Linked DNA regions of Danio rerio. The protein of the gene in region 2 purifies or fractionates together with the protein of the main gene of each other region. This does not show direct contact. Links are inferred from orthologs where the notes say so. Each region holds a gene or a part of one and is shown on either strand. Other genes may lie near its edges. The genes, in order: ppp6c and ankrd28b.

What was found.
Region 1: the proteins of ankrd28b (region 2) and ppp6c purify together in Homo sapiens (affinity purification with mass spectrometry; 9 studies listed by BioGRID and IntAct, with this or other methods). This does not show direct contact. The link is inferred for Danio rerio from reciprocal best matches to the Homo sapiens genes ANKRD28 and PPP6C.

The regions. Positions count from the first base shown.
Region 1 is NC_133180.1:32,597,109-32,601,490, reverse strand, and holds the start of ppp6c (serine/threonine-protein phosphatase 6 catalytic subunit), read right to left. Parts: upstream 3,043-4,382; 5' UTR 2,966-3,042; coding exon 2,891-2,965; intron 2,173-2,890; coding exon 2,077-2,172; intron 1,967-2,076; coding exon 1,901-1,966; intron 1,789-1,900; coding exon 1,647-1,788; intron 1,563-1,646; coding exon 1,483-1,562; intron 1-1,482.
Region 2 is NC_133191.1:21,476,682-21,480,512, reverse strand, and holds part of ankrd28b (serine/threonine-protein phosphatase 6 regulatory ankyrin repeat subunit A), read right to left. Parts: intron 2,280-3,831; coding exon 2,201-2,279; intron 2,111-2,200; coding exon 1,996-2,110; intron 1-1,995. UniProt on the Homo sapiens protein: Regulatory subunit of protein phosphatase 6 (PP6) that may be involved in the recognition of phosphoprotein substrates. Involved in the PP6-mediated dephosphorylation of NFKBIE opposing its degradation in response to TNF-alpha.

The DNA.
Region 1 (4,382 bases), on a different chromosome or scaffold from region 2:
GGGAACTCGCGCCGGCCAGAACCAAGGTAAGCTGTTCCAGCCCCTGCCTGCCACTTGGCTACCTATCTGCAGCCTGCCACCTACCTAGCTACAGCCTGCATCTTATATATATTATAGGTAGATACAGACTGGTACAGACTGATGTGACTGGAGTGGGGTGGGGGTGTTTTATTTATACATATACGCCTTTTTTTTAGGTGAGGGAATGGAAGTTTTGAGTGAGTTCCCCCAAGCCATACTGAGGGTCTCAACTGCTTCCGCTCTAAAGCCAAATGTGGTTCAGATTTGTGAGAAGAAGCGCTGTCAAGTCTCTGGCAGCAAGGAGTAGGCAAAAGATGCCATGTTCAGAAGAACTGTTCATAATCTTCACTCAATGTTCTATTAATGTTCAGGACACTTCATGTTCAGAAGAAATAATTAAAACTGTTAATAATGACATTTGAGGACTTTTTTTTGTGAAATCCCTTATGCGGGCCAGCCTCACCCAGACTTTGCCTCCTGCGGCCCCCAGGTAAATTGAGTTTGAGACCCCTGTTCTACATTGAGGTAGCGAAAAAAAAAAAAACAGTGAAGAAACTCGACACAGAGGAACATAAAAACCTCACTGCCAGCTAGCGTTTCGAAAGAGTTATTACAGAGCAACACAAACAGCGCGCATAGGATAGTGTAGAGGTTATCGGATGCACACTTCACAATCTCACTGGAAGCAAGAGGTGTTCCAAGTACTTCTCGTATACTGTTTTTTCCAAATAATATGAATTAAGACAAACTGCTCCACTTACATGTTGATTTTCCACATAGTATATAATAGGGAAATATGCGATTTCGGACACAGCCCTATAGTCATGACTATAAATTCAAGATCTTGGGTGCAAGTGGTCGAAATTAACTTCCTCCGCAGAGAGGCAGGGGGTACCCTTATAGATGGAGTGAGGGAGCTCTATCACTTAGGAGGGACTCAGTGTAGAGTCGCTACTCCACATGGAGAGACGTGGCCAAGACATCTATTTTGAATGCTTCCTAGAACTGTTCTGGACTTGTCCCACCAGGAGGAGGCTAAGGGGAAGACCAATGACTCGCTAAAGGAACTGTCACTCGCTTGCCTGGGAATACCTTAAGATCCCCCAGTGGAACTAGAGAAAGTGCCCAGAGAGAGGGAAGTATGAGGTTCTCTCCTGAGACTGCTGCCCCAATGACCTAGCTCCGGATAAGCGCAAGACAATAACTGGATGTATAGTTTCCTACATTTCTTTTATACCAATTCATACTTAGAAATATAAACAGTTTCATTAATCCAAAAATTATTTGATTTAAACAAAAACATCCTAAAATTATTTGATTTAAACAAAAACATGTGTTTCCTGAGTGAGGCCCATTAGTAAGAAGACCAAAACAAATATTGATAATGTTGAGATGTGTGATTGATAGATAGACAGACAGACAGATAGACAGACAGATAGGTATTCCAAAATCAACACTTACGGCAGCAACAGTGAGCATGTCGAATACTTTAGTGCAGTATCGCCAGGCATTAGCATTTCCATATTTAGTTTGGCACTCATCTGTAGACAGAAAGCCAAAACAATTAAAATCCCAAGTAAATTCAAAACAAAATATTTCAAAATCTCTGATTTCTGCAGCCTTACCATAAAAGCCATAGACCTGTGTAATCTGCCTACTCTCGTGATTGCCACGCAACAGTGTGATGCGGTCAGGCCACTTTGCTTTAAGTGCTAGCAAATATGTGAATGTTTCTAAGCTGTAATATCCTCGGTCAACAAAGTCACCCTGGATGAAAGAAAACATACCAATGTCTCCTCAATAGATGATGGTGGAACAATTTCCAACGCAGTACTAATCACAAATCATCAATTAAAATTATTGTTGTAATATACTTCACCATGAAAATGTAGTTTGTATCTGGTACTTGGCCCCCAGTTCTAAAGAGTTCACATAGGTCATAAAACTATTTATAAAAGAAAAAAAAAAGCTTAGTCAGTATGCATGTTTTTACAAAAACACGACATCAGCTCAACATCAATACCAGGGATGCATTAATGGAGCCTGCACACACACCTGTCCATGAATGTCCCCGCATACAGTGACTGGAGTGGATACTGGCTGTACATTTGATTCCTCAAGCAGAAGGTCACATACATAGTCACATAATCTCTGTCAAAGCAATAGAAATGAAGACAAGATTTGAACAAGTTTGTCAAGTGAATGCTATCAACGATGGTGACAGAAGCAGATCTAGCGGCGCATCTAAGGTCACATTTATTAATTTAAAAATGAGCTTTTTTTCCTAAGCCACATTATTTCAACATCGTATAATCATTTGTTTGATCACTGTTGCTATTTTTGTGTCATATTTGGCGGTACTGGATGAAACTGGTAAGACGTTGCATTGCATCATTATGAACTGATCCAGAAGCCCAGTTGTTTACGTACAAGAATTATATTTAAAAACAAACGAATGGAGGACGATTTAATCAAACCTGAAACCTGCTAACAAAGACGCAGATGTCATGAATTAAGATTTAACAAGGTTGATGATGGAAAGCATAAAATGGGCGTTTCAAACTAGTTCGCATGATAGCAACAGAAGTTAGCCACCCTATGTGTCCGCAAGAAAATAGTCCCTTACACAACTTTGTTATGCCCAACTGTCCTTACGGTCGTAACGTTATATACGATTATTTCTGAAAATACGAATGAAATCAATCCCGGAACATAAGATAATAGACTGGACTCATACGCAGCGACTGCATTGCACTGACACACTGCTATTTTAACACCTTCCGCCACAACCAACACGAGTTTATAAATACATCAATCGCTAGCATGTCCAATATTCTAAGAGAAACATAAAATTACTCAGATCAATCACCTTTAAGTCGTTCTCTGGTAGATATTTGCACTGCCTCGCAATTTCAACATACTTATCCAGGTCCAACGGCGCCATTTTAAGAACAACAGTCGATGGAAGACGCGAAGAGGAAGTCTTTCTACGTCACACAGAGTGGTGATGATTGACAAGATGATCAGCCAATCGCAGGCCAGATTTTATATGGAACTTGCAAAGTCGTTACATTCTGTTCATCGCGTTCTCAAAGTAAACTTGAAAAACTAATTTAGCAAGAGCCTGCTTATTAAAAAAAGTTTTTTTTAAAGTGATTCAATTGCGGTTGCTTCCATTCGGCTTATTATAAAAACATTCTCAAGTTACTGACTGACCACGAGGTGGCAACAGAGGTTTGCTTGACGCGTAGCCTTCTCTCCAAAAGGTGTGTGGTGAATTTTCTTTTCTTTTTACATGTCATTTTGGGGTTTTATATTAAAGAAAAAACTATTTCAACTTTTTGTAAACCTCATATTATTTATTATAAAGTTTTTTTTATTCATAAATGTAAATATACTCAATGTAAGCCAAATGAGAATAACAACTGCACTTGAAAACCACTACAGACTCTCATAACAAGAAAGCAGTTAAAACTTATAAAATATGTGCTTTATTTGATATCCTGCATTAATTTGTCTATTTTTTTCATGTGCCCTCTCATCTATTTTTGTTTCTTCTTTGTCTTTCTTTTGCTTTACGTTTACTATATTTCTTTAAAATTGTCCCTTTTCTCTTGTTGAAAAAATATTTATATTATTTGTGCTATACTTCTATCTGATTGTATTTCAGTCTTTTAAAATTGCCTGTTGTTATTGCAATAAAAAAATGAATTAATAAAAAAATGATTTCATACATTACTTTTATTACATTGCTTTTATTTGTATGCTTTAGTTGGAAACATCAGGAACCGTCCACCAAGTGATGACCACTGCAAATAGTTTATACAATAGATGAACTGAATTACCAAGAGAAAAAAGACATCACAAATTAAAAAAGTACAATACATTATTATAAAAATGAGTCTACCGTCTTGATTTCATTAAGTTACATATATTTCTGCTGCATTTTAAGACAACAGCCAAACAAATTTCAATGGATTGTTCAGATAAAGCATGACAACAACTGGCTGTCCAGGAATTACTATCAAACATATATCATATTACAGCTTACAAATATTACATATGTTCTGTATCTCATATTAAATGGCATTTTATATTTGAAACTTTATTCAAATTATGTAAATACATTGTTTTTTCTCATGTGTTCTGGGCATAACCAGCTTACGTGTATGTTTGTCAATGCAATGAAGCTGGCATGTTGCATGTTGTCAGGTTTTGGCAGTATGGGAGATAAAACAAAATACAAATACAAAAATGAGCACAGTATAAGTTTTTCTGTCATGATACCCAATGTATGAGATTAACAAGTAGGCTACAGCACTTCATTTGGACAATTTTTTTTAAAAAAAGTTCCGCTTTAA
Region 2 (3,831 bases):
TGTGTCCGCAGTTTAATTAACAATATTTTAATGTTTTTGCTGAAATCATTGCTGCAATCAAAAACGAGATAGGTGTATGATTCAGCATAGCGTAAACTTACCTGATATAAAATAAGAACTGCAAAGTCGAGCATTTTTAATTAGGTCTTATGATGGCTGTTAGCCAAAGACGACTGCGGTTGGCATTAAAAGCAGTGTGGTGTACGGTAAAATTTAAGTTTTCTATTTTTGGACTTTCAATTTTGGCATCCTACTGCACAACACGACATGTTTGTTATAGCAACCAGTCTTTTTTTGCAACCGGTATATGGGGTAGAATCCGTGTGACGTAGGTTGGTAATTCCCCTATAAATTCTTTCCAAATAGAGTCAACTTGTGAAATTATATTTGAAAAATTAATCGCAACACATTGTGGCGAGCTGAAAGCGGTCACTTAATGTCCACATAGGACGTGATGTATTTTAAAAAACCCCTCTCTATCATGGGAAATGGATAAAAGAAGGAAGTGTTTGTTCACCAAGAAGAGAGTATGCGGAGCTTCGGCTAGAAGCTCAGGCAATGATGGCTCAGGCTGAAAGGAATCGTCTGGCTGAGAGACAATGTGTTTGTTTGGTTAACTCCTGTAACCTTCGGACTGGTGAGCTGATCTAACTTTAATTTGTGACTAAAACAGACGACGATGCAGTACGTCTACGGCACTACGGCAACTTAACTATTTCTCTTCATGTATGGTTTATGAGGGAATGAGCAAAAGCGTACTCTCGAGTGAAACATCAAACTGTTTGAACGAACTGTGAGCATCTGAGTTACGAGAACCGAATGAATCGTTGAATTTTTTGAACGAACTGTGAGCATCTGAGTTAAAGAAACCGAGTGAATCATTGAACCGTTTGACGAACTGTGAGCATCTGAGTTACTGAAACAGAGCGAATTATTGAACTGTTTGATGAACTGTGAGCATCTCGGTTAGAACTGAATGAATCATTGAGCGATTTAAACGAAATGTGAGCATCTGAGTTATTGAAACCGAGTGAATCATTGAACTGTTTGACGAACTCTGAGCATCTCAGTTAGAATTGAATGAATCATTGAGCGGTTTAAACGAACTGTGAGCATCTGAGTTATTGAATCCGAGTGAATCATTAAACTGTTTGACGAACTCTGAGCATCTTAGTTAGAACTGAATGAATCATTGAACTGTTTAAACAAACTGAGCATCTTGATTACTATAACTGAATGAATCATTGAATTGTTTAAACCAAGTGAATCGTTGAATTGTTTGACCCGAGTGAATCATTGAAATGTTGAACCGACTGAATCATTGAACTGTTTGAATTGTTTATATTGAATTTCTGTATAACAGTAATGAATGTAAGGTTCTAACAAATTGATGTGAATCAGTGGTTTAATCTTGTGCATGGATCAAGTTAATTTCAAGTCGACAGAGGTACCTCTTTATTTGGTTTATTATTATTATTATTTTGTTTTGTGCATTTGATTTGTTGAATTATTCAAATGCTTGTTGAAATGGGTTTGAAATTTTTTCTGTTGTAAAACATGTATATAGTGTTATTTTGAGGTTGTAAGGAGACCTAATTGAATATTAGTAGAATGCAATTTAAACTGGTTTAGTCTGATTTATTTTGTCTTTAGCTCTATAAGGGGTTACTAGGGTTATTGCACTGCTTCTGTATCCCATGTAGCACTGACTTTATAAATATTATTTTTTATTTTTTACTTATAAATATATGAGTTGGCACCCCTACCCAGTCAGATCGCTACAACATTTAGCAGTAAAACTAAATATAGCACTGTCAGTTTTTTTCCAATATCATGCAGCCCTAATGCATCATCAATTACAACATTCTTAGATTTTCAAAAAGGGTTAAATAGTGAATTTATTCTACACCCGCCTGTCTACAGTTAGTAAATGTTGAATTAAACAAAGCTACCAAGTTAAGTAGTTATCAAGCAGAGAGCAATGTAAATTCATACTTGGCCGTATCAGCTCCATTTGTGATCAGTGTGTTGATGAGAAGCTCATGTCCGTATCGGGCTGCGATGTGCAGAGGAGTGTTCCCATTCTTATCTTCACAGTCTATCTCAGCACCTACACATATAGCACACAGCCAAGCAAGATGTAGTCAGATACTGCACACTTGCACATTGATAAATGTACACTGTAAAACTGAAGACTTACCGTTTTGAATAATGGCCTGAGATCTTGAGAACCTCCCGTGGATTGCAGTCATATGTAGGGGAGTTTTACCATCCTTACTCTGGATGAAGAGAAAATAGTGTTCAATTAGTGAGATAAATACTAGGGATGGTCTGACGGATCGGCATCGGCCGATAATCACATTTTAGAACTCAATTGGTACTCGCTAATCTGGCCGATCACATGAACCGATTGCAAATGTCCGTTTACAACCAGCAAAGGAAAATGCATTTTAATTTCTTATGTATCAAATATGCATTCCAAACTTTTTCAATGTGCAAGTTGAACCACAATTATTCTTCCATCATTTGCAATTTTTCCAAATTGCATTGTTAGTCATTTTTCTTACTTTTTTACATCTGTTCTATCTATTATTTTCTATAAAGCTACTTCTGACCATGATATGTCCACACTAGGCATGGGCCGGTATAAGATTATGATGGTATGATAACCTTGGATAAAAATATTATGGTTTAACGGTATTGTGATTACTGCTCTAAAATATATTCTTTTTAAATGTCTGGGTTAAAAATAAAACATTTTCCCCTTTAAAAAGCATATATTTTATTTTTTGAAAGATTTATAATATTTTGGAACAGTAAACATGGCCGGCTAAATAATTCAAATGAACACTGATTTCCTTGCTACAATAATCAATTTATCGAATTATCACACAAGACATGGAAATTACCTCAATCATTTTTGGTGAAGCAATATACTAATAGTAGGGACAGTGTCAGTATGGTTTAAAAAAAGAAAAAAAAAAAAAACACTATAGGATCTACAATAAATTACTATAGTAAATTTTACTATAGTAAAAAAGATACCGCAGGCTCTGTTACATTTTACCTTGCAATTTTTTGTTAACATTTATTATTATTTATTAAGAACATACATTTTGACATTCTGACTCCAATGTCTAATTATTACATTATTACTATAGTTAAATGAAATATTCTTAAGAATAAAATGTGTACTTTGGAAGAGTGACCTTGCATTATAATGATGTAATATTGTCATTTTGGCGTTATATGAGTGGCATAAAATAGTCTTAAAATGACAATAATATCATTTAATCGCTAAATATTTTAGTGCAATATATATCGTTCAACAAAAAATGGATATCGTAATAGGCCTTAATGTATCAAAATAGTTATTAGGTGCATTTCTTTTATTAACAGCACATGTTTTATAGTAATTGGAGCAATGTAAAACAAGCACACGGCTGTCAAACAAGCTTAAAATGTGCTGATGTGCAGAGAGCATTTTGTGATTAAATAGGTACATCTCTAAATTAGTCAGAGCAGCAGAATCTCAATTTAGTAGAATATACATTTAGGAAAACACTTTCAAAATAGCAATTTAGTGCTTTCTAGGTTGCTTAGAACACTTATTTAACTAAGCAAACTTATTTTATGTATTTTATGCTTAGCCCTGGTTTATTTTATAAATCATGCATTGCCACTAGATTAATATTATTTCAAGGAGAGTAACTGATCAGAATGCTCATAGAGGTGAGGACAGACTCCTCTGAGCACTTATGTCTCCAGCAGTGGAGAACATTAGTTATTTGGCTATCAAATTAAAAAGTAGTTTTAATTTCCCTAATGAGT